Diceros bicornis minor: one gene and its partners. The protein of the gene in region 2 interacts with the protein of the main gene of each other region in a biochemical or structural test. Links are inferred from orthologs where the notes say so. Each region holds a gene or a part of one and is shown on either strand. Other genes may lie near its edges.

Region 1 (7,176 bases), on a different chromosome or scaffold from region 2:
ATACAAACAACTAGTTCAAGTGCCCCCCACTTTTTTTGGTGAGGAAGACTGGCCCTGAGCTAACATCTGTGCCAATCTTCCTCTATTTTGTATATGGGACGCCACTACAGCATGGCTTAATGAGCGGTATGTAGGCCCGCACCCAGGATCTGAACCTGCAAACCCCGGGCCACTGAAGCGGAGCATGCAAACTTAACCACTATGCCACCAGGCCGTCGCCAAGATGTCCATTTTTGTGTAAGCAAGTGGAGGCTTATGTGATGGACAGGGATCTGACTGTAGAAGATCCCAAATGCCAACTTAGGATTTTGGAATTTTAGCGAGGAACCATAATGCTTATATGAGCAAGAATGAGAAAAGTTCCATTTGGAAAGTGGGGTTTTAAGAAGGCTGCTGTGACAATGGGATGGTAACAGTTTTCCAACAACATTCATGCAACAAGAAGGTAGCAGCGTGGACAGGAAGAAACGATTAAAAAAAAAAAAATTAACACACAAATTGTACAAGTTTTTGTAAATGTGTTAGAAGCTAAAGAGCCAATTATGACATCCAAGATTTTAAACTTGGATGAGCAGCATGACGGTATAATTAAAAGAAGTGTAAAGGAGGAGAGGTGATTGGGAGGAATAATTAGCTTGCTTTCTGTTTTAGTATCTTCAGTTATGCTGAGAGCACAAAGTCCAGGTACAAATGTTTTATTTAAGAAACCAGAATTGAGGGACTCAGAGGTAAAATTGGAGAAACAGAGTTGGAAATTATCCTCCCACGAATGCGACATGTGACAGTGCTGAGTCACAAATATGGAGGTCAATGACTTGAAGTTTAATCACACATAAAGAAGTAGAATAGAAAAAGATATAGAACTAAGCTTTATTACGTAGAAGCAAAGGCTACCCAAAAGCCAGCAGCAATAAATGCTAGAGAAAAAAAAAAAAAAGACTGAGAAAAGGTAATTTAATAATCAGAAAGTCATAAGTAACTAACTTTTAGGGCAGTAATGGCTTAAATTGGATTACAGGGGCTTAAAAAGTGAGTAACAAGTACTGAATACTAAACACCTTGAAAAATCTTATAAAAAATTTATAACTGCTCTATGAAATGGGTCTAACAACCCATCTTACCATGTAACTATTCATTGTCACAGGAAGCGTTTAGAAGAGCAACAGTAAAAGCATACACACTCAGTGGCAATGTACCCAGGGATTCAAGTGCTGGCTCAACTTCACACCAGCTCTGTGCCTACAGCAACGCAACTTCTACAAGCCCCAGTTCATTTGCAAAAATGGGGTTAATGCCACCTAACACTTAATTATCGTGAGAATTAAAAAAGATAACCGCTTGCAATTTACAAAATGCTTCTTTCTTGATTTTCTTCCCCCAAACTACCAGTAGCTAATGAAGATAAGGAAATCTGGGTTAAAGAAGTTGAGAGGTACCCAAGACAACACTGGCCTTCAGTGGCAGAAACAAGGCTAAAATCACAGCCTTCCATTCTCTTTCCAACAAACTCCAAAAATCTGCCTTAAAATTTTTAATCCCTAAGTACTTGCTTAATTAACCTGGTTATCATAACCATCTGTTTGTTCGAATTGCGTCTGCATGCTTTCATGTAGGAAGTTGGGTTGGTATGATAACCGTTATTTCCATTTACATCGCTACGGTGATCACTCCTAAGAGTCCTAAAGAGAGCATCTTTCTACAACTCTAATTCTTTTGGTGTCCTATCAGGGGAAAGTATTACTCAAGAAAAAGCTGGTAATTTAAAAAAAAAAAAGACAACTTGAACGCAACATGGAAGAATACACACATTAAAAGGTCCCCATTCTGAGTATTTCTTTCCTTGAACTTAAGCTAAACCTTAAAAACAAGCACTGATCTATCAAACTAAATCTAGCCAACGAATCCCACCTTCTACCTAAAATAACAGAAAATGACTGAGTTGTCTGATCAGACGTCTTAGCTACAGACGCAACCATGCCTCCAAAGACGCGGACCTGTTAACTTCAGAGGCTGAATGTCCCCCCTGCCGCCGGCGTGACAAGCACGCTCAGACCCCGCGAGAGGGCGAGGCCCGTGTCTGAAGCTCTTTCAGAACAGAGCCCAGACCTCCATTCCTGTCTGCTGTCTCACCGCAGCAGAGGGCGGGTTATGCCCAGCCACCGTCCAAACCCAGACCCAGGGGACCGACCCACAAGGAGAAGCCCGGGAGAGAAGACGGCCCCGAGCGCCGCGGAGAGGGGCCCGCGGGCGGCGAGGCTGAAGCAGGGACGGGGTTGGGGGTTGGGGGTTGGGGGCTGGGGCGGAAGTGAAAGCGGCGGCCCCCTGGGCTTACCCTCCGTTGAAAGCGTAAGGCGAGAAGCGCAGCTGCAACGGGCTCGCGGCTCCGTGAGGCTCCAACGCCGGGTCTCTGCCGGGACCCGAGAAGACGGCTGCGGAGGACAACATCGCGCGGCGCCACTCCTGCTGTCTCACGGCGAGATGGCGGCCCCGCCGGAAGCTGCGTCACTTCAGGCTTCCCCGCGGCACTCCCTCCGCCGCTCTATCTCGCACCCGTCGTTGCTCCCGGAGGTCAGCGCCGCCGCCTGGCGTGTTGGTAGCGGCGCATCCCCTATTGCAAGACAGCTGACAGATGTAAAGGTTTTCTTTCCTAAGAAAACATTCGAATTCACTCCTAATGGGCAAAAATTTTAGTCTGATCATACAAAAAAACTCCTAAAACTATGGAGCAATGGAAACTCGAATACTGTATTGGAATGTAAATTGGTACAGCCAAATTTCGAAAAGGGATTGGCACCACCTAGCATAGTTGAAGATGTAGACACCTCATTACCCAGCAATTCCACGCCAAGGTGTATACCCCCAGAAGACATGTGCAAGAATGTTCATACAGCATTGCTCTTAATGGCCCCAAGTTGCAAACGAACCAAATGTCCAAAAATAGGAGAATGGATAAACTAATTGAGGGATACGTCACAGCAAGGAACATTAACCGACTGCAGCTAGAGGGAACACACATCAACATGGATGTCTTATAGCGTTGGGCAAAAGAATACATACTATATAACTCAGGAGTACACAGTGAGTAGGAAGGACCCGTTTGGCTGGGGTATGGAAGGTGGGGGGGGTGGTTCTGACGCTGGTAATACTCGGTTTCTTTACTTTATTCATAACCATCTGTTAATCTGTACATATGTTTATGCACTTCCTTATCTGAATATTATATTTTACAATTTTTAAAATGTTATTTTTAAAAAGCAAGCAAACAATTGGCTAATATAGGATGGACTACCTGATATATACATGCAATTCTGGAACCAGAAAAGACTTTTGAAAAGTACTTGGTTAATTAAAACTTTCCCCATGTTTTACTGTAAACAAACAAAGGATAAAACAAACGATTTTCTTTCATGGTTATGGACAGAGTATTGTACTTATTCAGGTACTGTCCTGGAGACAAAAAATGTATATAACATTTCCTTTCCTTAAGGGGCTCACAACCTCATTGATTATATAAAATACAAAAGAAGCAAAATCACAAGCAGTACAATCTGTGATTATGTCTAAATGAGCCATAGAAGGAGATGCAGGTACTCTGGGGTCCAACCAAGCACCCAGGAAGCAAACAGACAGAAACAAATACCGATAGTTTCTTCCTGACAAACGTGAAAAGAGTGAATAAGACGGTAGTAGCAGAATTAAAATATCATTGAATATGTAAACCAGGCTGTCCGCTTTTGTTTTCCTTATCCTTCTACATGTTTGAGAAGAGCCAACACGCACTGAGTGCTTACCGTGTGCCACAGTTCATGCATTTCCTTAATCCATCTCACAACGCTATTAGTATTCCACTCGACAGACGAAGAAACTGAAGCAGAGAGGTCAGGTAACTTGTCAAAGGTCATACCGCCAGTCGGTTTGAAAAGTCAGCATTTAAAAATCAGTATCCTGCCTACGTCCAGCAGAGCCCAATTAGAAGATGCTCGGGCAAGGCGACCTCGCCCCGGTACACCACAGGAGCTCCGCCCCGCCGCTCGCGTCCCTTAAGCCAAGTACCCAGGGAAACGCAGGAAGTGACGGAGCGCCCACACTTCACATGGCGGCCGCTTGGGCGTGGGCAACCGGCTGAAGCCGAAGGGCGAAACTGGCGGAAGTGACACTACCAACGCGCGCCAGGAGTTCAGGAGGGTCGGGAAGGGTCGCCGTGGCGGGCGCCTGGGCCGCCTGCGGGTTCACCTCGTTTCTGCGGCCGTTGGTAGTCTCTGCAACGACTCAGGTAACAGTCCTCTTAGCTTTTCCTCTTCTCTGAGGATTCGTGCAGAGGCGACCACTACAGCGAGGCCTGGGGCGATGGCGGGAGCAGACGCGGAGTGGGCGCGCGGGCCGCGCGGAGACGGCCCTCCCGCTCTTGCAGCCCGCCGGGGCCTGTACCGGCCGCCCCCGCCCCGGCTGCGTGTCGCCGGGGCCGCTTCTGCTGTGGTGCGAAAGCGGCTTCCCGTGTCCGAGCGTGGGTGCGGGAGGGCCAGGACCCGGAGTCTTCCCGTCCTGCCCTCTGTTTCTTCTTCTCGAGGTTGGAAGGCAGATTCACTCTGGCCGGTGCCCACCTGTTTTGCTACCAGCAGACGTGATTTTATTATAAAGTTGCCCTGGAGACTTTTTGAAGGTTTTTCAGAAGCCAGAGATTTGGGCACGTTAGAGCATAAGATGTAAACACACACCACTTTATTTACAAAGGCTCCCTCCTCTAGGCCCTGGACAATGTGGTTTTCAAATTTAAAACTCTAGGTAGGCTTCTCTACGAAAACATGCTTGAGTTATATAGACACTAGGGGGCTGTGCAGAATTAATTGATCTTTCTCCCTTACCAGTGATTGTGTCCAAAAAATATCGAATATGATGCTTCAATTTCCAACAGATGAAGACCCTCTGCAAACAATTTTCTTTTCTAAGGATGAGTTAGTGTAGTAATAACTGCGGTTTTAACGACACGGGTGAGGAAAGATGGTCAGCGCCGTCACTGGGAGTGAGAGATGAGCTCTGAACAATATAACATCAGGGACGAACCTAGTAACTCAGATTTCTTCTGTAGACTTGCAGTTTGCGGAAAGGGGTTTGAAGCCACCAGTTTCTGGATAAATTTCTGGTCATATTTATGAGTGCTTTAAATCCCGCCCTCCTTGTCTCTTGCCTCAACCACAGCAGTGACTGCCTTAAATTGAACTTCCAGCCTCCAGTTTTATCTCATCGAATTCATTCACGCTCTTGCCAAAGGAGATCTAGTCATGCTGCGCTTCAAAATTTTGTCACTGTTCTTGTTGTTTATGTAATAATGACTGAAACTCCTGATAATGTGACCCCATTTGTATTTGGTATCACATCCCTTGCAGGAGCCTTCCATACAGTCATGCTAAGCTTGTTGCTTGCATACTGCATGCCCTTTCAATCTTTGTCTCCCTGTGCTTGATCTTTCTTTTGCGTGAGGTGCTGATTTGTAAATTCCTACTTGCCTTGCTAGACTGGAGTCAGATGGTCCCTACTTTGTGAAAATACTTGTCAGAACACTTGGCAGTTATCTTGTCTTCTCTTGCATAGCATGTATGCATTTATTCATATTGCATACTATCTGCCAGGTTCGGTTCTAAGTGCAGAGATTGCAAAGACTTGTATGCTTTTTTCTGCACTCAAGGAACTCAGCATGGTGCATATCTGCTATTATAGCACTTAAGCTTTGCTGTACAGTAATTATTTGCATACCCTTCAAATTGAACTCTGATGCCAAGGACTATATCCTGTTCATTTTTATATTTGTAGCACTTCTATTGTTGTTAATTATAGGATATTGTTATTATAGGTTGTCAAAAAACGTATAATTTTCCTATATCTCTGATATTTTCTGAAGCTGAGTTTTTATTTTTATTTTTTTGGCCTGCTTTTTAGCGATGAGTATGTAGGATATATAATCTTTGGGGTCCTTTGTCCTTTCAAAGTGATTGTCAGATTCTTTCATTCATCCAAAAAATGTGTGTCTTTGACATAGAACTTGTAACATTAAGACCTGTGAGTTCTATGTGAGAATGTCTTATTAGCTGATAATGTTTAAGCTGAAATCTGATAATAGTTAACATTTGTCCTGTGCTTACTAGATGTGATAACTAGATGCTGCTCTTTATGTGTTAATCAGTCAATTCTGTTTGATTCAGTCGGTTCTCAGCAACCCTGAGCAAGTTAGGGATCCATGAACTAAACTAAACAAAAAGTCCCTTGGTTCTCTGGTCTAAAAGTAATTTCAAATGTGTAGCCAGTAAAGAGATGATGACTTAAGGAGAGCCAGATCCAGGCACAGTTTGTATTTGTGTGTTCTAAAGAGGTAAAGTCATTACATATAAAAAACATGATGTATTTATATTTATGTCTGTACAGCTTCTATCACAGTATTTTATTAAGGTAGCAGCTCAATAAATGATCACATTAAAGTGTATTGCATCCAATTCGATATTTATTGAACTTAACTTATCCTCCCAAGACATGATAGAGGATATAAAAACCGATTGGAATGTTTAAAAACCTAAACTTGGCCTAATAGCGCTCAGTACATTAATAGGGCTTAATACATCTATACATTGCTTAAGAAATATTTCTACCCAGATATGACAGTTTGCTCAGGAATTCATTTTCTCTGGGTGTTATTCTCCAAAAGTTTTTAATGTTGATTATGACACCTTAATTTTGAACATTGTAAGAGTATTTAAATTAAACATGTAACAAAACAATTTTTCTGTTGGCAGTTGTGCATGCAGTCACAGGAAACATAGAAGGAATAAGATTTCAGCATTATAAGGTAAAAAGAAGTGTATTCCAAAATAGCTTCATTGGTTTTTTTTTGTTTGTTTTTCGTGTAACCATGAAACTGGTTTATAAGACTGTACAGCTTACCTGTATTCTTACATTAAACTTCAAACTTTTTTCCAGGCAGCATCACTGTTTCTTGGTGTGTGTGAAGATAACCCAGAGAGTTGAGGAAGTTGCTAAGAAGAGTGTGCTGGGGATGCTCTAGGAAAAGACCGAATGCTGAGGCGAGTTGCAGTCCAAAGGGTTTTGATTTGCTAAGAAGAAAGTGAACATCATGGATCAGAACAACAGCCTGCCACCTTATGCTCAGGGCTTGGCCTCCCCTCAGGT
Region 2 (7,782 bases):
AAAGGTTAAAATAAAATCAATCTATCTACGGAGAAAACAACAGCCTCAATCAGTTTTACTGGTGAGTTTTACCAATTTTTCAAGGAAGAAATCATTCCAAACTTATACAGACTCTTCCAGAGAATAGAAAAGGAGGGATTTTTCCTCATATCATTCTATGAGGCTGCTACAACTTTGATACCACAATTAAACAAGGCCAAAAAAAAAGGAAAATTACAGCCATTTCATTTACAAATACAGTTGCAAAATCCCCTCCTAAAATATCAGTGAATCAAATTCAACCATACAACACACCATGACCAAGCTGGATTTATCCCAAGAATATAGGATGGTTTACTCTTAGGAAAGCTACGTCATACTATGTTAACAGATACAGAAGAAAAATCATATGATCTGCTCTATAGATGCAGGATAAGCATTTGATAAAAATCAACACCCATTTATCACAAACATTCTTAGTAAACAAGAATTAGAAAGGAGCTTCCTTAACCTGATGATGAATACGTACCAAAAAATTGTATATAACTTAAGGGCAAGAACTGTAAAAATATACTCTTTTCAGTAATCACATTGTTGGTTGTAGGGTTGGTATTGTTATTCTGAGAGTGTTTTGTGTATAGTGTGAGATAGATCAAATGAGTAATTGGTTGGTGTCATTGAGAACTGAGTCTTTTTTACTATCGTAAAATATACCATTTTAACCATTTTTGAGTGTGCAGTTCAGTGGCATTAAGTACATTCACATTGCTGGACAACCATCACCACTATCCATCTGCAGAATCTTTTCATCATCTCCAATAATCACTAACTCCCCTTCCCATCTCTGTCCCCATTAACCACTAACTCCCCATTTCCCCCTCTCCCCAGCCACTGGTGACCATTATTCCACTTTCTGTCTCTATGAATTTGACTACTTTAAGTACCTCATATAAGTAGAATCATACAATATTTGTCCTTTTTTGTCTGCCTTATGTCACTTGGTGTAATGTCTTCAAGGTTCATCCATGTTGTAGCATGTACCAGAATTTCATTCCTTTTTAAGGCTGAATGGTGCCATTGTATGGATATACTACACTTTGTTCATCCATTCATCCGTCCGTGGACATTTGAGTTTTTTCTGCCTTTTGGCTATTACGCCGCTGTGAACATTGGTGCACAAATATCTGAGTTCTTGCTTTCAACTGTTTTGTATATACATATACCCAGAAGTGGAATTGCTGGATCATATGGTAATTCTGTTTAATTTTTTGAGGAACTGCCATACTGTTTTCCAAAGCAGCTGCACCATTTTACATTCTTGTCAGTGAGGCACAAGGAATCCAATTTCTCTACATCCTTGCCAACACTTATTTTGTTTTTCTGATAATAGCCATCCTAATGCATGTGAAGTGATATCTCATTGTGGTTTTATTTGGGTTTCCTTGGTAGCTGTTATGTTGAGCATTTTTTCATGTGCTTATTGGTTTATTTTATATCTTCTTTGAAGAAATATCTAAGTCCATTGCCTTTTTTTTTTTTTTTTGGTGGAGAAGATTGTCCCTGAGCTAACATCTGTGCCAATCTTCCTCTATTTTGTATGTGGGACACCACCATGGCATGGCTTGACTAGCGGTGTGTAGGTCTATGCCTGGGATCTGAACCCGAGAACCCCAGGCTGCGGAAGCGGAGCGCTTGAACTTAACCACTACGCCACGGGCTGGCCCCTTCATTGCCCATTTTTGAATTGGGTTGTTCAGTTTTTTTATTGTTGAGTTGTAGGAGTTATTTATATATTCTGGATATTAATTCTTATCAGATACGTGATTTGCGAACATTTCTTCACATTCTATTGATTTTTTTACTGTGTTGATAGTGTCCTTTGATGCAAAAAAGTTTTTAATTTTGATAAAGTCCAATTTATCTATTTTTCTTTTGTTGCCTGTGCTTTTGTGTCATATCCAAGAAATCATGGCCAAATTCAATGTCGTGAAGCTTTCCCCCTATGTTTCTTCTAAGAGTTTTATAGTTTTAACTCTTTAATTTAGGTCTTCAATCCATTTTGAGTTAATTTGTCTATGGTGTAGATGGTGTTAGGTAAGGGTCCAACTTCGTTCTTTTGCATTTGGATATCCAGTTTTCCCAGCACCATTTGTTGAAAAGACTGTCCTTTCCCCATTGAATGGTCTTGGCGCTCTTTTCAAAAATCGTTCAATAAAATTTAAAAAAAAAAAAAAAAGGGCCGGCCCGGTGGCTTAGTGGTTAAGTGCGCGCGCTCTGCTGCTGGCGGCCTGAGTTCGGATCCCGGGCGCGCACGGACGCACCGCTTCTCCGGCCATGCTGAGGCTGCGTCCCACGTACAGCAACTAGAAAGATGTGCAGCTATGACATACAACTATCTACTGGGGCTTTGGGGGAAAAAAATAAATAAAATTAAAAAAAAAATCATTCAACTATTATATGTGAGAGTTTATTTCTCTGGGCTCTCTATTCTATTTTTTTTTTCTCCCCAAAGCCCCAGTGCATGGTTGTGTATCCTAGTTGTAAGTCGTTCTAATTCTTCTGTGTGAGCCACCCCGACAGCATGGCAACTGAAGATGGGTGGTGTGGTTCTTTGACCAGAAACAAACCGGGGCCACGGAAGCAGTGAGAGTGCTGAACTTTAACCACTAGGCCATCAGGGCTGGCTCTCTATTCCGTTTCATTGGTCTATATGTCTGTCTCTATGCCAGTGCCACACTGTTTTGATTACTATAGCTTTGTAGTAGGTTTTGAAATCAGGAAGTGTTGGTCTTCCAATTTTGTTCTTCTTTTTCAAGATTGTTTTGGCTAATCAAAGTTCCTTGAGATTCCATATGAATTTAAGGATGGATTTTTCTATTTCTGTAAAAAGAGAATCGAGATTATTATTGACATGGGAGAAATATGTAAGGTAATTGAGTTAAAACTCTGTAATCCTAAATTTGAAAAGGAGATGTCAGTATGAACTTCTAACGCATGTCATATAAAAATATATATATATTGGCTAACTGTTCACTGAAAAGGACTACAGTGACTGACCCAGCTACAGTAAGTGTCCCTGGCACTCAGACTGTGGTCATTTCCCACGAAGAGAAGAACCAGGACTCCTCAGAAAGCTGTCTGATTCCAGACCTTGGACACTACTGGAATTGTGTCAAAAGGACTAAAGAATCAACTTGAAAAGGTTCCCAATGGCCACAGACGGAACAATCTGAACTTCAATAAGAATAATAATTGCAATAGATTAAAGCACATCAAATATGTATAAACCCATGAATTCATTGATAATCTTTTTAAATGTTTATTGATCGATTTTGGAGGATGATAGAGAACCAAGGCATTATTTTGAAAACTGATAGGGCCGGCCCTGTGGCTTAGTGGTTAAGTGCGTGCGCTCTGCTGCTGGTGGCCCGGGTTCGGATCCAGGGCGCACACCGACGCACTGCTTCTCTGGCCATGCTGGGGCCATGTCCCACATACAGCAACTGGAAGGATGTGCAGCTATGACATACAGCTATCTACTGGGGCTTTGGGGGGATAAATAAATAAATAAATAAATAAAAAGAAAACTGATAAAGGGAAATTCTATACCCTAATAAATCACTTTTAGGTATATACCCAGGAAAACGTATACAACAGGAGACATTCACAGGAATGTTCTTAACCACACTATTTATTATAGCAAAAAACTGGAAACTCAAATGGTCATCCTCAGGATGAATAAATAAATAAATGGTGTGTGGTATATTTACACAGCAGAATAGTATACAGCAGTAAAAAGTAGGTATGGATGGAACCATGAAATGGATAAACCTTGGTAACATGTTGAGTGAAGAAAGCAAATAAAGGACAAAAAAATATGATACTCTCTTCATAGAAGTTCAAAACTAAGCAAAACTAAACAATATATTGGTTAGGCATGTATATGTGAGTGAATTTATTTTTCTTAAAAATTTTTTCTTTCAAAAAAGTCAAGGGAATAATAAATACAGAATTCTGGATGGTGGTGCCCCCGACACGGGGGATAAGGAAGGGAAGAACAGGTTAGGAGCACAAGGGTGGATCTAAGTCCTGGCCGGGTTCCATCGAGCCCCTGGAGTTTTGCAGTGGGTACACTGGAACTCGATGTATTAATTTAAAAGTTATAAACACATACGAATTTTTAAAAAGAGGATCATGCGAGGATCAATGACGATTGTGTGTCACTAACCAAAGATTATAATTAATCTATTCTGTCGACCTGAAGTTGGCCTCCTCAAGAAAGTTAGCAGACTTTTCTAACGGGGCCAGCCACGTGAGAAACTCAAGTGAGTGGGAGGGGTAATAACTATTTTCACTTTTCTCTTCCTGTTTTTTCAGAGCCTGGGAAAGCAAGTCAGAATTTCCAATCTTTTCCAATTCCCACATGATTCCCTAATTTAGAATGAATTTAGAGAATATAAAAAAGTCTTTCTTCATCTGGGGAAGGCTCCACCGCCTGCCATGGAGCATCCTCATTCTCGGATGAGGAAACAGCCTGGGGTGGGGGGCGCTCTAGCCCCCTCCCTCACCCCGCACGAATGCGCCTTGGGGTTGGCCTTGGGGACAATACTCCCGCCGAGGGCTTGCATGACGGTTAACTGCTGGAAATGCTTTGGCCAACGGTTAAACTCTAGCTGGAGGCCCTGGGGAGGCGGGCGGGGGGCGTGACCCAGCGGGTTCAATTGGCCCCTGGGAGCCCCGGACCTTCTAAGACACAGGCGTCAGGCTGCGGAGACGAGGTTCCGGAGATTGACCCCAGGGCGCCTCCTGCCCAACCTCTGCCCCAGATGGCTGGCAGGGTGGATGCATTTTAAACCGACGAGCCCTCGGCCCGCTCGCCGGCGGGAGCGGACGCGGCGCGGAGCCTCGGTCGCCCCTTGCGTGCAGTGGGCTCCGGGAAGCCCGCGATCCAAGCACCGCCAGGTGGAGAGGTCCGGGCGCTTCCCTTTCCCCGTGCTGCATCTCGATCGGGGTGGCCAGGAAACTAAAAAGTGCTTCTGCGGCGACAGCCACCAAGAGCACATTTAGCGATTAGGAAACCGTGTGGAGGTCAGCCACCCGGCCTTTGCGGGCGAAGCAGGCCCCGGGCCTTTCCCTGCGCAGGGCGGGCGGCCGCAGCCCAGCAGCCCTGGCTCTGCTCCAGACCCGGCCCTGGGTGACATCACCAAACTCCTCCGATCCGCGGGAGGGGGCCCCGAAATCCCCTAAAAACATTGTGAGTAATCGCCGGGCCCGCCCTCCAGGAGGCCCAGCCCCAGGAGCGAGCCAAGCCGCCCCGCCAACCCCGGGAGCAGCCTCCGGGCGGGTAGCCTCTTCGTCTCCCGCGGGGCGCACGCTTGTTCCCGGCCCCCGGCAGCACGGCGCGCGCGGCCTCTTCGTCCTCTGCGCAGCAGGCACTTGGCCCCAGGCCCCGCGGGGCGGCAGCAGTGGCAGCGGCGGCGGCGCAGCGCGCAGGCGCATTCGGATTCCCGGCAGTGACGCGGCGGCGGGCGCGCGCGGCGCATTTCCGCCTCTGGCGAATGGCTCGGCTGTAGTGGGCGCCGCGGGCCCAGCTGCGACCCCGGCCCCGCCCCCGGGACCCCGGCCATGGAAGGTGAGGGCGCCCTCCAACCCCGCGGGTGGCCGCGCCGGGGCCGCCGGGACCGCGGCGGGAGCCCCGCGCCGCCTTCCGCCCCTTCCTGCGCCGATGGGCGCTGCGCAGGGAGCGGCCGGCCGGATGGTGGCGCGGGGCGGGGCAGGCGTTAGGGGTCTGACTCAGTTTCCCCTCTGGGTGGAGGGGGTCCTGACTCAGTATCCTCCTGGGGTGGGGGTGTGGGGTGAGCTTTGACTCAGTTTCCCCCCGAGGCCCATGGAGGCAGTTCTGACTTAGTTTTCTTGTTAGGGGAGCCTGTATCTGACTCAGTTTCCTCTCTGGATGGGGGGTGGGGAGTGTCCTCCCTTAGTTTTCCTTATGAAAGTAGAGAAGGACCTGACTCAGTTTCCCCCAGTAAAGGGAGGACGCGAAACCCAGTTTTCCCTCGGGAAACAGGTGTTTCTGGCTCCTTTACCCCGACCCCTTAGTTTTACTGCGGCTTCCAGGTAGCGGGCCCTGACTCAGTGTCCCTCGGAGGGAGCCTCGCTCCATCTCCTCTCCGTGGGGAAGCAGGCCCTCCCTCGTGAGGATGGGAAGTGGGCTTGTGCTGACACTTGTCTCCCTCCCCTTGCAGACCTGTTCCCCCTCATCTTCTCCTCGGGTAAGTGGACCATCCTTTCTCAGTGGTTCGGGATGAGCTCCCCCCGGGGGTTAGGGGCCATGGGGTCAGCCACCTGATGGAGGCGGGCCGGTGTCTCCCCAGCAGAGCCAGCCCAGGCTTCTGGCCCCTATGTGGAGATCATCGAACAGCCCAAGCAGCGGGGCATGCGCTTCCGCTACAAGTGTGAAGGCCGCTCAGCAGGCAGCATCCCAGGCGAGCGGAGCACGGATACCACCAAGACCCACCCCACCATCAAGGTCAGCACTGGCTCCCAGGGTTGCGGGGGAGGCACAGAGTCATCCGGGCAGGGCTCTGGAACCCCAGCGGCCTTGCTTCCAGACCCCTGTGCAACCTGTGTCTGGGAGTTGGGTCTGCAATTCCTGAGCCTCTAGGATGCTCTCTGTACTTTGCACAGATCAATGGCTACACAGGACCAGGAACAGTTCGCATCTCCCTGGTCACCAAGGACCCCCCTCACCGGCCTCACCCCCACGAGCTCGTGGGGAAAGACTGCCGGGATGGCTTCTATGAGGCTGAGCTCTGCCCGGACCGCTGCATCCACAGGTGAGCTCCCCTCGGACAGCAGAGGAGGGAGCGGGAGGTGGGAGGACCAGAGAGGGGGCAGTGTGTAGCTGTCACAGTGTTACTCCTTTCTGGACAGAGGGCTGAATTCCTCCCCAGCTCTGCAAGCAGATTCCCTTTGTCTTGAAGTTATCTGTTTGTGTGTCTACTCTCAAGCAGATGTGAGCTCCATGGGATAGGGATGGGTCCTTAATCACCTCTGAACCCCTAACCCCTGTGACTGGAGGGGCAAGTCCCTCAGTGTCACATCTCTTGCAGTAAGGAAGAAAACCACTGGACCAGCAGTCTCCCCTGGAGCTTACATACCAGTTGACAGAGGCAGGCCGTAAATAAATATACAAATAAATAAACAAGATACTGTTAGTAATAATTTCAGTGCTGAAAATAAAACAGTAATAGGCTGGAGGAATAGCCCGGAGTGGGGGAGGCGGGGGAGCTGGTCTCATTCCTTTGGATCAGGAGGTCAGGAAGGCCTCTCTCGGGTTAGATTTGAACGGTGAGAAAGCAGAGAAGCACAGAAAGAACATTCCAAGCAGAATGAACAAGTGCAGAGGCCTTGAAATGGGAATGAATTTAGTGTGTTTGGAGAACGGAAAAGAAGCCCCTGTGGCTGAGGGCAGGGAGCCAACGGGGACTAGGGCTAGGGCCAGGTGGCCGGGCACGGGCGTGTCAGCCAGAAGAAGGAGTGGGTGTCATTGCAGCACAGTGGGAAGCCATTCGAGGGGGTTAAGCACGGAGTGATCATCTGGTGAGTGGGTGGGAGAGGAATGGGCAGACTGGGCGAGGCGGGAGGGCCCAGGCTCTGCTGGAGACAGTGGGACTGATGCCTGGGGGGCCTCAGCTTCCAGAACCTGGGGATCCAGTGTGTAAAGAAGCGGGACCTGGAGCAGGCCATCAGTCAGCGCATCCAGACCAACAACAACCCCTTCCAAGGTGAGGGGTGAGGGGG
Region 3 (7,129 bases), on a different chromosome or scaffold from region 2:
CCAGGGGCCTCTCGGGGCCACTGCCCTCTGTCAATTCCTCCAGTTTGCTCAGAGCCCGGGCTTGGTCTTTTTTTCTCTACCCTCTTAGCATCTTACCCGGGCCCCTGCCAATGGCTTTGGCATCTTTGGGTACAGATTTCCCCCTTCTCAACCCCAGCGCTTGTTCTAGATCCCCACCCTCTCAGGAGGGGGCCGACGCTGTCCTGCCCTGGCTCCGAGACGGCAGCACAGGGGGCTGCAGAATGCCTAACTGGTGCCTAGTAAGGCTTGGGCATTTTCCTTACCCCAGTAGGGCTGGCGTCTGGGAGATGAAATTCAGGTGCCCCCTGCAGGCTGGCCTAGCTACTGCCCGTGCCCCCAGCCCGGCCCCAGTTCCGAGGGCAAATTTTGTAACTCCATCCTTAGAAAATCAGCGCTTTGAAGCAAAGAAGGGCTTCCTTCCTCATCCTATTTCCTCCTCTGAGAGCCCCTGCAAGACTCTGGAAGGAAGTACAGTTTAGGGCATTTCCCGAAGGGTGATATGGGTCCCACTGGCAAGGCAGGAAATGATTTTAGGTATGTTTAATTTTTCTAGTTACGTTGTATTTTAATGTGTATCAGAAAAAATATAGCGGGCACAGCAAGCTCATGATTTCATTTATATTACTGCTTAGGACAGATCAAAGTTTACATCTGGACAAAAGTGAGTCAAAGTTTTCATTTTAAATTAAGAAAACATAAGTGAGTAAAGTAAAAATCAGGGAGGAGGTGGCTTGAGAATGTCTGGGCTGGGAAATTCTGGGGTCCAGGAAGTTGGCTGGTGGGCAGATCTGGATGTGAATCCTGCCTCTGTGACATCATCTATGTCAAACTCAGCTCGTTTGGAAAATTCTGGTAACAGGCCGTTATGGAAATCACTGGAGCAGACAGATCTATGGAGCCCATTTAGCCTGGCACATCCTAGATAAATGGGCTCTATTGCATCGTGATGCTCCATTCCTGGGTGTCCGGCCTGCGCTCTGAGAGAATTAGCGGTTCCTTCCAGAGCCTCTGATCTTTTTCTTGGGGATCCTTTTCCCTGTGCGGCTTTCCACCCCCCCGACCACATGTGTCTGATACGCCTTGAAAGTTTTCCAGAACTATGTCATCTCCCCAACTTTCAACTGAGCCACTGCAATATACAGCTGCCTGCCTCTACCTTCCACCTCCCAGCCGGCCTCACCTGCTGGGGGCCCAGCCCCTCCCCCCAGCCTAGTCCCCTCCAAGCTCATGCTGAGACCTTTTTTGGTCACTACCCACCTGCTCCTCTGTCATCAAGCACTCAGCTACAGGCACTGGCCTCCCCGGCCCCCGCCTATCGGTGACATATCAGGCCTCCCCATGCCTGCCTGGCGACTCTGAGGTTTGCCATTTGAATCTGTATGGGAATAAAGTCCCCTGGCTTTCATGCCCAGGTCTTTCTGGGAGGGAGCATTCAGGACACTCAGATCCTGGGGTCTGAGACCAGCAACTGGGAAGAGAGTTTTTGGACGTGGCTTCCTTGCTGGCTCTGACTTTCTGAGTAACGGGAAGGGGATCCTAGCTTAGGTCCAGCTTTAGGCCTGGCGTGATGACAATTTAAGAGCTGGAGGAACTGAGGAAGGGGCTCCAGGCCATTTCTGAAGGCATTTCCAGACACAGAATCTCTTTCTCTGGCTGGCTGGAAAAGGCCAACATAATTTGGGGGCTGAGGCGGAAACAGGCCTCTCTCTGGCTGAGCTCTGGGAGTGATCAGAATCTATCTGTCCCCTGGCAAAGCAACCCATTAGATGTCACCCACTGCTGTCCCCGACTGCCACCCCAAGTCCCCCGGTTCACCATCCCAGCTCAAGCTGAATAAGTCTGGCAAAACACACTCTTCATCTCCCACTTTTCATCCCGGACGAGGAGCGGCTGAAGAAGCCCGGGGGACTGGGTGAATGACGGAGCCTCAGTTGTGAAACAACCATGTACTGAGGGGCCTCCAAGGATCCTAGAGCTCACTGCACAGCAGGAGATGGGAAGGGGCTCTGCTGCCGCCCCCCACCCCACTCCAGCAAGGAGGACGCAATGAATCCCAGCAAGATCGGCTCAAACTTGGCTTTGGAAGAACTGATGCGGTTCTCTACGTTCATAAACAGTCTGCTACCCCAGCCAGGGACAGACGCTTGCTTGGAGAAGGGAGCACAAGCAGAGAAGCAGAGTGACAGGATGAGAGAGGGGCAGAGGGACCCAGAAAGATCCTGTCCCCCATGCCAAGTGACACAGAAGAGAAAAACAATACTGGAGGTGGCTCTGGGAAATGCTCAAGGGGGGCAGAGTGGGTCTGGAGGGGGGCTGTGGTAAGGTGAAGAGGGGAAGGGCAGGAGAAAGATGGCGGGGGCTGGAGGGGGGAGGGGTGTGGTCACCAAGTGGCCAAGGTCCCTGTGGGGTGGAGGCAGACCCCACAGCACTCCCAGACTGGTAGATGTCTGGGTCGGGGTCTGGCAGTGGGTCCCATCTGTGGGAAAAGTGAGGAAGTGGGGGTTAGAATCTGGGGAGAGGGGCCAGGAAAGGAGAGGGTGGGGTGGTGACAGGCTCCCATGCGAGGCCCCAGCGGTCATACGTGCCATGGTTGGCAGTGACAGCTGGGTGGGGGGGCACAGTCTTTGCAGTGGGGGGCGGCCTTCGGCAAAGGGGCTCCTACGGGAGTCTTCTGGGGGCCCTGGGCCCCAATCTTGGACAGGCAGGAGGAAGGAGCGCTGGGGGGTAAGCGGAGAGAGATGGGGGGGCGCGTGGGGGGAGGGGCCAGGCGGTGATGGACAGGGTGGGGGCTGGCAGCGCGGGGCCAGGATCGGGGTCACGGCCCGGGTACTCACCGCTCTCCTGCTCGCTGCCCTTCTTGGCGGCGGCGGCGTTGCCCATCGCGGCGGCGGCGGCCGGGACCGGTCCCGGAGCTGCGGCGCGGCGGGTGCTGGCGGCGGCCGGCGGCCCCGGAGCGCGCTGGGCGGCAGCGGCGGCGGCGGCCGCTCGCGTTGGCTGCGCTGGCTGCGGCGCCGCGACCCCCGCCCAGCCCCTGCTGCCCGCGTCCCTCCGCGCCCGCCCGCCCGGGAACCTCAGCCCAAGTCCGCTGCTGCTGTCCGTGACGCCCCCGCAGCCCGCCGATCATTGGTCCAGGCCGCCCTGACTGACGGCGCCGCGCCCCCGCCCATTGGCTCTCCGCGACCCTCCCGCGCCGCCATAGGCTCTCGGTCCCATGACGCGCGCCGCGGACGCCCGGCCACTCGCGCGCTCGCGAGGCCTCAGCTGGGCGGGCCGACGCGCCTGATTGGCTGAGGTGCCCGACAGGACCCAGGGCCCGCCCAGCGAGGCCGCCAATTGGCGGAGGCGCCCAGTCCGGCAAGCCCCTGGCAGAACGTTCAGTGTCAATCCCGGGGTGAGAGGGCGGGGCGGACGCGCAGCCTGCTGCCCAGGCCGCGGGCGGGGCGGCCGAGGCTGGCTGGCGGGCGGCCGCGCGGCGCTCCGAGGCCGAGTGGGCGGTCCCGGCGGGCGCCCGCCCCGTGCGCGCCGCAGTCCCCCGCCCCCGCCCAGTGCGGCAGCGGCCGCCGGCCAGCCAAGGTTGGCGCCGCGGCCCCCCCACCCCCCGGCGCAGCCACTGTCCACCTGCCAGCGGGGGAGGGGCGCGGCCGGCGCCGCGGGTCAGAGGTCGCCGGGCCGTCGGCCGTCGTCATTGATAAGGCCTGGCGCAGGAGGGCAGCGGCAGGCCCGGGGTTCAGGCTGGGGTTGGGGGTGGTTCCTGGGGCTCCCCCAGCCGCAGCCCGAGCTTCAGGAGGATGCTGGGCCCCGGGAGCAAGGGGGCTTGGGAGGGGGCGCTCAGTGTCCCTCCCTGTGCTGGGCGCCCACCCTGGGCTCAGGCCAGCAGTAAGAGCTGGCGCTCGTTTGGTAATTCGCACCACACTCCTGTCCCGCAGGTACTGGTATCATCACTCCTGTTTTACAGATGAAGAACGTGGGGCTCAGTCAGGCTGAGGATACTCTCCATCCGCGCAAAGCAGAGGGAACTACCTCCCCCCCAAGCAGAGACGTAGCAAGATGCCCCTTCCTTCAGGATACCCTGTTAATACACACACAGCCTGAGGACGTCGGCTCCACCGCCGCACTACTGACATTTGCGGCCGGATCAGTCTTTGCTGGGGGGCTGTCTTGTGCATTGTAGGGTGTTGAGCAGCATCCGGTCCCTCTACCCACTCAACCCCTGTAGAACCTCCCTCTCGTCCACCAGGCACCAGTTGTGACAACTCAAACCATCTCAAGACATAGTTTAAGGTGCCCTGGGGGCAAAACTGCCCTCAGTAGAGAACCACTGAAGTAGACAAGGGCCCAAACAGGAGGTGCTGAGAGGGGCAGGGGACGGGATGAGCCAGCTCTCCCTGACTCGGAGGGGCTATCCGGGCTCAGCTCTGCAAGCTGATTCCCTGCTCTGCCTATAGACTTACAACCCGAACCCTTCCCAGAAGCTGTCCGAACCCACCTTCCTAGGCTCGCCAGTCTCAGGGAGGGAAGAGTGGGGCTCCTCTGTAAATTATGGGGAAATGGGTCACCAGCCAAACCACTCCCACTTGGGCTGTGGGGTTACAAAGGTGAAGTAAAACGTAATAAGAGTGTTGCTGTCTGTCCTTGGAGCACAGATGTTAATTCCCTCCTGGGGGTCAAGGTCAAAGTCTGGAAAGTCACGGGTTATGCTCTATCTACAGAACAGCTGGGTTGCTTAGGTTTTGACAAAGAAAAACCCCACCCCGGAACCTCAGTCTGGAATACAACTATCCAACCAAGTAAGACTCGAGTAAGAAGCTGAGCTTGGGGATGGGGCAGTCAACTCACTGGCTGGGGCAGGAGGCCCCCGACGTCAGGAGGAGAGGTAGACAAGGCTGTCTCAGCCCACCCAAGACAGAAGCAGAAACAATCAGCCTAGATCAAATGCTTTTTATTTTTAGACCAACCAAACATATTTAATATAAAAACCCTTTAATGTACAAACTGCAACCACAACAACATCCACATAGCAGCAAGGGGGTGGGGCGCGGCAGGGAGCCTGGTGGGGGTGGGGGACTTCAGGGGCCCTGGTGCTTCCCCTGCCCGTAGTCACTCTGTGGCCTGTGGGGTCTTAGCAGAGGGCAGAGCAAGGCCCCCAAAGGGGCCCTGATGCTGACACTGAGACAGACCAGCAGAGAAGGCCCCTCTAACATGCCATCTCCCCACAGTGGCAGCCTCCAGGGAAAGCCAGATCCAGTTAGGAGGTAACAGGAAGGTAGCTGTCACTGAGAAAATCAGCCATCATTCCTCAGCATCTTGCTGATCACACTTTTGCGAACAGAGTTTTCCAGGGGCTGTTGGATTGACAAGACCTAAAAATTGTTCCAGGAGGACAGAAACTGTGTCCGAGTCTACCTTCAAACCACGATTCCTTGCCCGTGACTCCAGAAAGCTGGGTGTATTCTGCTTGGTAGTTTGGGAAGGGAGATGAATGACAGAGCCTTTGGCCCAACAGGGCCAGAGCCTTGCCAGGCATTGACCAAGGAAGCCTCAAAGCAGGCCAGGGAGGCCTGTGGGAAGAGCTCTGGGTCAATGGTACTCCCGGGCGCACGGGGGCACAATGACCCGCAGGTGGAACTGACAGTGCCTGTGGAAGAGGGAAGGGACAGTCAGAAAGAACTAAGAACTGAAGCACCTGTTTCTGCAGGCCTGGGCAGGAGAGGTGAGATGATCCTTCTGGGCCAGGGCTGGGAGACGTGAGGCCTGTTCCTTCCTCGGGGCCAAGTTTAACCGGCCTGGATGTAGCTGACGGCCCCCAAGTCTTCCACATGGCCCCCAGGGGACTCTCTGGGAGGCCCCGCTGCCCCTTCCAGATGTGCCAGGAGACTGGCCTAGATCCCCAGTTAGATGCAGTCCATGGAGTTCTCGGGGAGGAGGCCGGGGATGCAGCCAGGGAGACCCAAGCCCTTGACAGGAGTGCAGCTGAGGGGGAGGCCGCAGCCCAGGGTGGGGTCCTCCAGCCTGTCCGTGTTGTCCCAGTTGATGTGGAAGCGGGTCACCCGGGGGTTTGAGGCCAAGATGTTCCGCTGGAGCTGGGCGGAAAAAGGAACGTCAACCCTGGTCAGCATGCCCTCTCATCACTCCTGCGGAGCCAGGGCACCCCTGCCCCGCTCCCCCAGGACAAGCAGAGCTGGCTTATCCCACCACCACCACAGCTGTGTGTGCCACTCCCGGGGATGCCCACCCCACAGTCTAGGGCCACCTATCTAATCTTGATTCTGCAAGGTGTGCTTCTGAGAAACCAAGACCTTTCTCTCTCCCGTTCTAGCCTGGCGCTGCAAGATCTGAGCACTACTTGAAAGCCTTAAGAAGTGACCTTGGCTCCAAGTTTCAATGACTCAACCCCCAGCAGTGCAAAGGTGGTGCGGTGCAGAGCCGGTCCCACCTGAGAAAAGTCCGGCTTCGGGGGCGGGTTCTCCCGCAGCTCGGGGTTGGGGTACTCGTTGTTAACGTAGTAGCCCACGCGGATGAACTCCTGGCCATGGTAGGTGCAGGTGATGAGGACCACAGTCACCCCCACGGCGTCGGTCTCAGGGATGAGGGACGGGTTGGGGGCGTCGGCCTAGGGGAAACACATCCTGGGTCTTAGCATCCATCGCCGCAGTCACACCTCCTCAGCAATACAATGCTTCTCAAGCAACACATGTCCACTGAGCCCAAAGCATGGTCTCTGCCTTTGGGAGTTTTCCATCGAGTGGGGAAGACAGAATCAATTGTGTAAATGCCTGTGAAATGCTGAACGTGATGGGTGCCACACAGAAGTAAATGGGGCTGGGGAGGAGTGTAGTGAGCAAGGTGTAGTGAGGAGTGTAGTGAGTGTAGTGGGGAGGGTGGCATACGATGAGGCTGAACAGGTGGGCAGGTGGCACCAGGCCACCAAGGGCCTGGTGGGCCAGTTAAGGGCTGGGAGAGAAAAAGCAAGAACATTCAGCAAGAGGTGAGTGCTGCATCACTCAGACCGCAGTGGCCTGCGGAGCCGAGATGGGAGCAAGGGGGGACTGTGGCCTGGACCGGGCAGCAGAGGAGACAGAGGTGGCCAGATTCCAGGGTGTTGTCACGG
Region 4 (7,731 bases), on a different chromosome or scaffold from region 2:
CGGGGGATTCATCCGCTCTGAGTTTACAACTTCACCCAAGCTACAGTTCCACCCCGACAGAGAACCAAAACGGATATGATGTGACAAAAGACACTTAAACTCAAGTCCTGAAGAGACCAATTTCTTCCCTAGAGTAAATTTCTAAGGAGGAAGAAAAAGGATGTCTGTTGCAGAGGCTGTAAGTTAAATTCTTTCCCTAGATGTGTTTTTCTGAAAGTCACTGAACTCTATCAGAACCAACTCTCTAAAAAATTACCACTGATAAAGAGTGCTACTGACATAATACTTAACTGCTGCTTCCAAACTCAGTTACCAAGTATTTCATATATTTGGCTGACTCATTAAAAATAAAAAATAAGAAAAATGGAAGAAGACAGTTGGGTACAGTGGAGTGGGGTTCTAGAGGTCCAAACCGGTCTCCCACTCCCCACTGAGTGTCCCTGGAGTAGTTCTTAACTTCTCCATGCCTCAGTTCCCTCCTCTGCAAAATTAGGATAATATTAGTACCCACCTCCTAAGACTAAATGGATAATGTGCGTGTGAGGCATTTAGCACAGAGCCTGTACAAAATAAGAACTAAACAATTACAGCAATGATAACAATAGCTAAGACAATGAAATTACTGAGAACAGAGGCTTTGTTTATGGAGAGAGGTAGGTTAGTTGGTACTTAAACACCAAGATATTCAGACTAGCTTTAAACTAGTCCCCATGCGTGTGTTAGATGTTAACTAAAGACTATTCCGGACGGCACTAAAAAGGCCAAGCAGGGCTGGAGAAAAGCCCACTGGTGCAGTTTACTGCGAGTACTCATGCATACTGTAGACACTGTGTGAGTTGGAGCCTTAGAAGCTTTTAAGGACTTAAAAAGTCTGTGTTACTATAATCGTTTACTGGTAGGTACAGCTGAGTGACCACGTGTCCTGGATTGCCCCAAACATTCAAGGCGTATGCCAATTGTCCCAGCATGAATATCCATAGTGACCCCTCTCCTTCTCAGGCATGTTCTGATTTTGGGCAATAACGTATATGGTCACTCTATATAATAGAACTTTCCTTGTTTATATAAAGAACTTTCTCTGTTTCTATCCATTGGCAAGCTCAAAAACAACACTGATATATTTTCTCAAGTTTCTTGTTCACATTCTGCAGCGAGCCTGGAGACCATGGACAACTGGGGCTTATATTTCTAGACAGCTTCAGAGGGGAACGTGGTTTAACCCGGGGAGCACGGACCATGATCAAAGGTTTGCATGACATTTTTACAAGTAAAAGTAAACTTTGAAGAATGAGAGCAAGCCCTAACAATTTGAGAAGAGCATTTTTCATTTATCTTTCATAACATGAAGGCACAAGAAGTCAATAACTTAAATAATAAGAAGGCTTCCAATGGATCAACTCAAACAATGTCTTTGGGCCCCAGTAAACCCCAACATTGGCTTTACTTATTAGAGAAATAAATAGTTCTGTGAGTTCACAACATTGTGAAATTAAAACAACAAACACTTTTCAAAGCTGGATGAAGAAATGTTTTAATAGTTACATTAGAATGGATACCTTTTAGAGAATTCAGAAATATTATTCCACTTAATCTCATCCTCAGACCCCAGGAGCACTGCAAAAGGAGTCAATTATGTTTTATAAAAACATAACAACTAATTTCTTCTCCCACAGTAGCAATGACTATGTATCCTTATGCATTTGTACAGTGTTGCCACTTTGTTTTCCTTTACCATTTATGAGAATTTGTTTCTACCAATTAAACACAAACCAGATTCAACCAAAAGCTAAAAATTATTCACTTAGATGCTTAGTTTAAAATATTTTGGAATAATACCACACAACACTGCAAAACATCACGACGTAGTCTGAGGTAGAATCAAATAAATAAACACGCTCAAGAGTATCTTCCAGGATTCGCTGTTACAAAATCATAACATCCCATGACACAAACAACGAGATTGTATAACGTCCCCACCTCGCTTTTTAGAACTAGCAAAAAAAGAGGTGGAGAAACTCAGCAAAACAAAGTGGCGAGAAAAGTCGGGGGAGGGGCGCTAGAAGAGAAGGGGCGGAGAAACACGACACCAAGGCGGTGATATCACCCGCAGCCAACTGCATGGAATTCAGAAAGTTAAGTGTCACCCAGCAATTTCGGCCCGGGCTTGCGGCGCGCCTGCACAGCGTGGCGGCGGCCCGGGCTCGGAAGCAGGAAGGGGGAGGGGGCGGTGTGACTGAGTTCGCTCGGGGGCAGCAGAGGAGAGGGCCACCCGCCTCCCGGTCGGCGCGCGTTCGAGCCCCGGGTCTGGAGTCTCGTCCAGTGCCCTGCAATGATTTCATCTTTTCGGAGGAGCGGCCGCTCGGGCCGCTGCTGCCACGTGCGAGGTTCGGCCCTGTGCGCTGCGCAGGGGAACCGACCCGAACGCCGCCGCGGTCACCCCGGGTCGCAGCGGTGAGCGGAAGAAAAGGGCTGGCGGCCGGACAGGGGCTCGGGGTTGCCAAAACCGGGCGGGGGGGGTTGCTCCGCAGAGACCTCGGGTCTCAGGGGGCTGTCCTCCTGCGCACCCCCCCCCTTCAATCCCCAAAAGGGGGAAGGCCAGAGTGCGGGGCAGGTTTCGCAACTCCGAGGGCGAATGGAGGCGGTGGCCAGGCGGGATGGAACAGCCGTGCCCTCCCGGGGGCTCCGGCCCGGCGGAGCCCCGTTCCCGGCCTGCGCCTCGCCGCGCAGTGCGCGCTCCCGGCGGCGTGGCCGTGGCAGACTGGCCCCTGCCGAGCCGGGCAACGGGCCACCCGCGCAGGGGACAGTGGCGACCGCGGGGCCCGGCGCCGCGCGGGTCGCAGCCCGCCACTCCTTCCGCGTTCCGAGCCCTCGGCGCCTCCTCCCCCGGCCCCAGAGAAATGCTTGTACCTTCCACCGCCTCCTCCACCATTTCGTCGTCGCTATCCATGGCGGCTGCGGACCCTGCCCAGCTCGGGGCCGCGCGGCTGCCTCCCGTCCCTCTGGGTGCTCCTGGCGGCTGAGCGAGCGCTGGGGCTGAACCCTGCGAGTTTGGAGGAGGAGGAGGAAGAGGAGGAGCAGTCGGGGCAGGCTCGCACTGCCTCCCCCTACAGCCCTTTCAATGCCTTGGCCTTCAGCTGCTGCGGCAGCAGCCGTCCTCCCTCCTTTCGCCCACTTGCCCCTCGCCTCCGGGGCTCCGGGGTGCCGCCGTGGCCGCCGCCGCCGCTGCAACTTTCTCCTGTAATACCCCCTCTTTGTTATGGAGCAGCTGATCCGCTGACATCACCCAGCGCCGGTGCGCTCCCTCCCTCGCTGATTGACAGTTCCCTGTCCCTTCCCAGAAGTAAGGCTCCTTAAAACGAAAGGCGCTCCCTGTCCGCGCTGACTCGGCGCGCCAGCCACCCGGCCCCCGGCCCATCAGGGTTTATCTTTTGCTTCTTCGCGGCTCGGTGCGCTCCGAGCGCGCCACGCGGTCCTGGGCGCCGCGGGCTTCTCGCGGGCACTTGGGGTGGCGGGGTACCTGCGCTCGGGGGGCTCAGAACTCCTGACCTCCAACTGTGCCGTGGGCAACCTGGCAGTCCGCCGTGCGGTGCCCGCCGGCCCCCCTCGGGACAGCCTCCAAAGAGCAAGGGAAGCTCAGGAAGCGGCTCCGACGCTCCGGCGCCTCAGCTTCCTCTCGCCCTCGCCCCCACTTCACCCCGTTTGCCACCCGGAGCTGCACGAGTGCGGCACGCACCGGAGCGCAGGTGTCCCCGCCGGGCCGCATCACATCCGCGAGCAGGTTTCCCAGACTCAAGGGGGTGTCCTCCAGCCCCGATGCCGCCGGAGTGCGGCTCCCACCCTGGCGCGCCGCGTCCCCACCCTCCTCGGGACCGCCGGGCGTCTCGGGTGATTCAGAAATTCAGCAAATCCAAATGGCAGCGGGCTCTTTATCAGGCAGGAAACAAGCGGCACGGAAGGCCCGGCAGGTTCCTGCTCGCGATGGTGGTAACGGAAAAGGAGCCACCGAGCGGAGCTAACGAGGAAGGACCCTCCGTCTGGCGCGCCTCCTCGCGCCTCCCGCCCTGTACGTGTGATGTCCCCAGCTGTCTCCCTGTTGCTCCGAGTGCCAACCACTCCACAGAATCGGGCTCTTCAAGTGGAGGAAATCGCGAGGCACCCGGTTCCCAGCCTAGCCACTTAGTGTCATTATGGCGTTGCCTCTTACAGGTGGCGGTAAAGGGCGGCTGTAAATAGCTGGTTAAATGGATGCAAATGTACACAATGTACCGTGGAATTACCCGGTGCTGCTCTGGGCCTCTGCCAAGAACAGCTACTGCACGGGGGAGGGGGCAGGAGGGAGCAAAGAAAGTTGTTCCATTTTGTTTTCTGAACTGAAATGAGTCTTTGGGGATTTCAAAGTGCTTCCAGCCCCGGGAGACCACGCCTTTCTTTTGGCTCTGTGCTTAAATGCCAGGTGTTTTTCACCGAGTATTCTGAGTTTCTTCTTAAATTCAGTTTTCCTCTGTGAAAAAGAGAATGATGTTAAGGACATTTGCCCCGTACACTGCCAGGAATTTCAACCCCTTTTGACTGCTTTAGAAAGACAGGGAAGGGCCCTGGACCAGGAGGTAGGAGACTTCGGTTCTGGTGCTGCTCACCTGCGGAGGGGCCTGGGAGGCCACCCCTGCCAGCCCGAATTCCTCCTCCAGGAGATAAGAGGCTTAGGCTATACTGGGATAAGTTCCCTCCAGCTTAGCCTAGACCACTCTGAGGTCTCCCAGCTTAGTCTACACCCCTCTGAAGTCTTCTGGCTTAAGTTTAACCTCCTTAAAGTCCTCCAGTGCAGTCCTCCAAAGCTACACAGAGAAGGTGTTCCTGCAGTGGAAGATCAAAGAGCCACTTCAGGTTAACATCATTTTCAAAGGTGAACCACAGAAACAAGATTTTATCTCTGAGTTAAAAAAAAAAACAAAAACAAAAACGCCATCATGTACTGAGCATGATCACTCACTGGTTTTGAGTTATATGATAATTTTTCTTATTTTCTCTTTTTTAACATATCATCTCTTCCCTTACACATTACACTGACGTACCAAATACACCAGATACCCATCTTCTTCCCCAGTTTCCAGTTTATTTTCAGGGGCAAAAAAGATGCTGAAAGCCAAAGGAAGCAACAAGAATTTATTCCTTTATTCAAAGGGGGCTGAGGCAGGGGGAGGGGAGGGTGGAAGAAATCTCCCCTCAAAACACACAGTTGGAACCACAGAGACACAAGTTCATGGTGAATGGGTACCTGGGGGCAGGAAGAGGAATTGTGTCACAAGTGTCCTGCCCCTATCTTTAGGATCAGAGGAGAATGTCTAGCCATCCCCTTGGTGCTCTGATGTTTTCCCAGCCTGTACTGTACACCCAAACTGTCAAGTGCCGCCTTTGCACTTGCTACCATGAGAAAAAACCCTGCACACAGCCCCCATCACTGAAGCAGGCCTCTGGACCTGAAGGGGTGGAGTGGGAAGTGACCAGGGTCTTCCTGACAGAATGGGCAGTGACAGGAGGGAAAGCTCCCTGAGAACCTCCATCAGATTTGCACATGAGGCAGGCAGCAGCCAGGACACAGTCCTGTCCCCCTTCTGCCACCATTCATTCCTGCTGGCTCTGGGCCCAAAGTTTAGGCAGAATGTTTTTATGACTCCCTTCAGATGCATTTGCAGTTTTACAAATCATGTTGTGTATGTTTCCCATCCCTTTCTCTAGACTGGCTGATTCTTATTTATTGCCCCAGGACCTAACACAGTGCCTGGTACAGAATGAAGGATAAGCTTTGTCAGTGATGCTTTTGCAGAGAGGAATATTCTGTTTTATATAAACAGTGCTGAGTCTTTCTCACAGACGGGATCCTCTTCCTGCGTTTTGGCAAAGTGCGTTGCTTCAGTGCAAAGTCTGAAGAGCGTTTTTGAGTTGCTCTACTTTCCCACATCTACTGGCCCCAAATCTGCTTCCATCGCATTCTTTCCCACAGTTTTCTTCATTGAGAGCTCATTTCATAAACCCTCTTTCCACTTGGCTTCCTGCCATCCTCCTCTGTTGTATTCTGTCCCCACCAATGTGGTCATGGGCTAGAAAAATCAATAAAGCTCTTAATCACAATGTGCAGCAGCAGCAGCATGGCCAGCTCCTAACTCAGCAGATCTCAGTGCGCCAGAACCAGCCCTCACAGAGAGGAAAGAGACTGCACAGGATGTCCAACAGCCAGGCCCTGCCAGGGGTGGGACTTGTTTCCATGCCCACACCAAGGAGTGGCTTTTCTAAGCTGCTGTGGCTGGCTTCCTTTGTATCCAAGAATATATCCCTCTCTTCACACTCGTCTTGGGAAACATAAGTCCCTCTTCCACTGCAGCAAGCAGTCAAAATACTGAGTTATTTTATTCATTTTACCACCCATGTCTTTCCCCAGAGAAGGCTGATGCTTACTTATAAGACTGATATAACTCTTGCAATAAATAGATTTTTATAGGCATCTTGTATTTTATGCACCTTCCTACATTTAGGGGAAACAATTCTGTCAATTCACCACTATACGCGCTGGCAAATTGCGAAAAACCTAGTGTATGTGGTACTCATGTGGAAGTCGCTAGTGCTGGCTGTCACTGACCGCTCATCCTGCCCTGCTGATAGGGGCTGGAGGAGGCCAGGCAGTTTTCCGAGTCTCCATGCTCCTGGGAGGCAGGTGCCTCTCTAGGTTTCCAGGTGGATCTATGGCTCGTGTCCCAACTCTGCTTTGATGGTTTGATTACACTGCCAGCGGGGAGACAAGGACAGATGAGTAAAGGAACTCTTCATTTTGGCACTACTCACCCCTCAACAAGATTTTTTCCCCACTAAATTCACCAATTTGATTGAGGTTTCACCCTATTTGTTTTGGTTCCTCCAAGACCTAGCTATGCAACTGGTCACTTAAGCTCTCTGTATCTTAATTTCCCCACCTGTAAATGGGGAGGTTGGGCTACAAAAATTCTAAGCCCAAACCTCTGCCCATCTTTCCGGGGAAAAAGTTAAATAGAGCATGAAGAGCCCCAGGATGTGCACAGCAAAAGGAAAGCGGAAGAAGACGGGGCAACTCTACCAAACGGAATATTCAAGTTCCCAAGTCATCTCAACTTAATAGCACTGAGATCTGGGGTGAAGGAGGGACCTTATCTTGCTCTAGGAGGAGAGGCACAGGCCTTTCAGGAGAACCAAGGTCCTTGGCTTCTGAATCTCTGAGTCACTAATCAAGTGGCTAACTGTGTTAGTGACAACTGCAGAAGCTGGAGGGAGGGGCAGGGAGATGAGCAGCGAGGAGGAGGAGGGTGTGGGGGAGGAGATGTGGATGAAAGGGAAGCATTTACAGCCTGTGGAGCACAGCGAAGAGCAACCGGGAACATCAAGGGCACCAAATAAAGGTCTGGGAGCAAAGGAAGAGATGGAGAAAATTCGTTCTGCTGGAAATAGACATGACTGCAGTCATGAAGAGGACTCAGGATTTCAGGGTGACCTGATTTGATTACGGCAACAGGAAGTGCAGGAGAGGGCAGAATAACCTGACCTGAGGAAGTGAATTAATAGAGAAGACATCATAGTTGCCATGGCATTAAAATACCTCGAGCCACATTAAGCTTCTTTTTTCTCTCTCACTTGATTCTTGTTCTTGTAACGTGTTAATGTCATTGCAATATATCCAGTAAACTAAATTAGACCTTTTGGGGCATG

The links.
Region 1: the proteins of RELA (region 2) and TBP form a complex in vitro, tested with the Homo sapiens proteins (2 studies listed by BioGRID). The link is inferred for Diceros bicornis minor from reciprocal best matches to the Homo sapiens genes RELA and TBP.
Region 3: of the proteins of RELA (region 2) and PRKACA, one has a biochemical effect on the other in vitro, tested with the Homo sapiens proteins (4 studies listed by BioGRID and IntAct, with this or other methods). The link is inferred for Diceros bicornis minor from reciprocal best matches to the Homo sapiens genes RELA and PRKACA.
Region 4: of the proteins of RELA (region 2) and SETD7, one has a biochemical effect on the other in vitro, tested with the Homo sapiens proteins (3 studies listed by BioGRID and IntAct, with this or other methods). The link is inferred for Diceros bicornis minor from reciprocal best matches to the Homo sapiens genes RELA and SETD7.

What each region holds. Positions count from the first base shown.
Region 1 is NC_080778.1:1,493,604-1,500,779, reverse strand, and holds the start of TBP (TATA-box-binding protein), read left to right. Parts: upstream 1-4,167; 5' UTR 4,168-4,273; intron 4,274-6,782; exon of another isoform or gene 6,783-6,835; intron 6,836-6,966; 5' UTR 6,967-7,120; coding exon 7,121-7,174; intron 7,175-7,176. Other genes in the region: PSMB1 (proteasome subunit beta type-1), read right to left, coding at 2,333-2,445. UniProt on the Homo sapiens protein: The TFIID basal transcription factor complex plays a major role in the initiation of RNA polymerase II (Pol II)-dependent transcription.
Region 2 is NC_080770.1:7,546,895-7,554,676, forward strand, and holds the start of RELA (transcription factor p65), read left to right. Parts: upstream 1-4,769; 5' UTR 4,770-5,604; coding exon 5,605-5,611; intron 5,612-6,224; coding exon 6,225-6,251; intron 6,252-6,353; coding exon 6,354-6,508; intron 6,509-6,666; coding exon 6,667-6,815; intron 6,816-7,674; coding exon 7,675-7,766; intron 7,767-7,782. UniProt on the Homo sapiens protein: NF-kappa-B is a pleiotropic transcription factor present in almost all cell types and is the endpoint of a series of signal transduction events that are initiated by a vast array of stimuli related to many biological processes such as inflammation, immunity, differentiation, cell growth, tumorigenesis and apoptosis.
Region 3 is NC_080769.1:3,624,503-3,631,631, reverse strand, and holds the start of PRKACA (cAMP-dependent protein kinase catalytic subunit alpha), read right to left. Parts: upstream 3,010-7,129; 5' UTR 2,902-3,009; coding exon 2,856-2,901; intron 1-2,855. Other genes in the region: histone chaperone ASF1B, read right to left, coding at 5,913-6,101, 6,455-6,631.
Region 4 is NC_080750.1:29,991,174-29,998,904, forward strand, and holds the start of SETD7 (histone-lysine N-methyltransferase SETD7), read right to left. Parts: upstream 3,010-7,731; 5' UTR 2,948-3,009; coding exon 2,908-2,947; intron 1-2,907. UniProt on the Homo sapiens protein: Histone methyltransferase that specifically monomethylates 'Lys-4' of histone H3. H3 'Lys-4' methylation represents a specific tag for epigenetic transcriptional activation.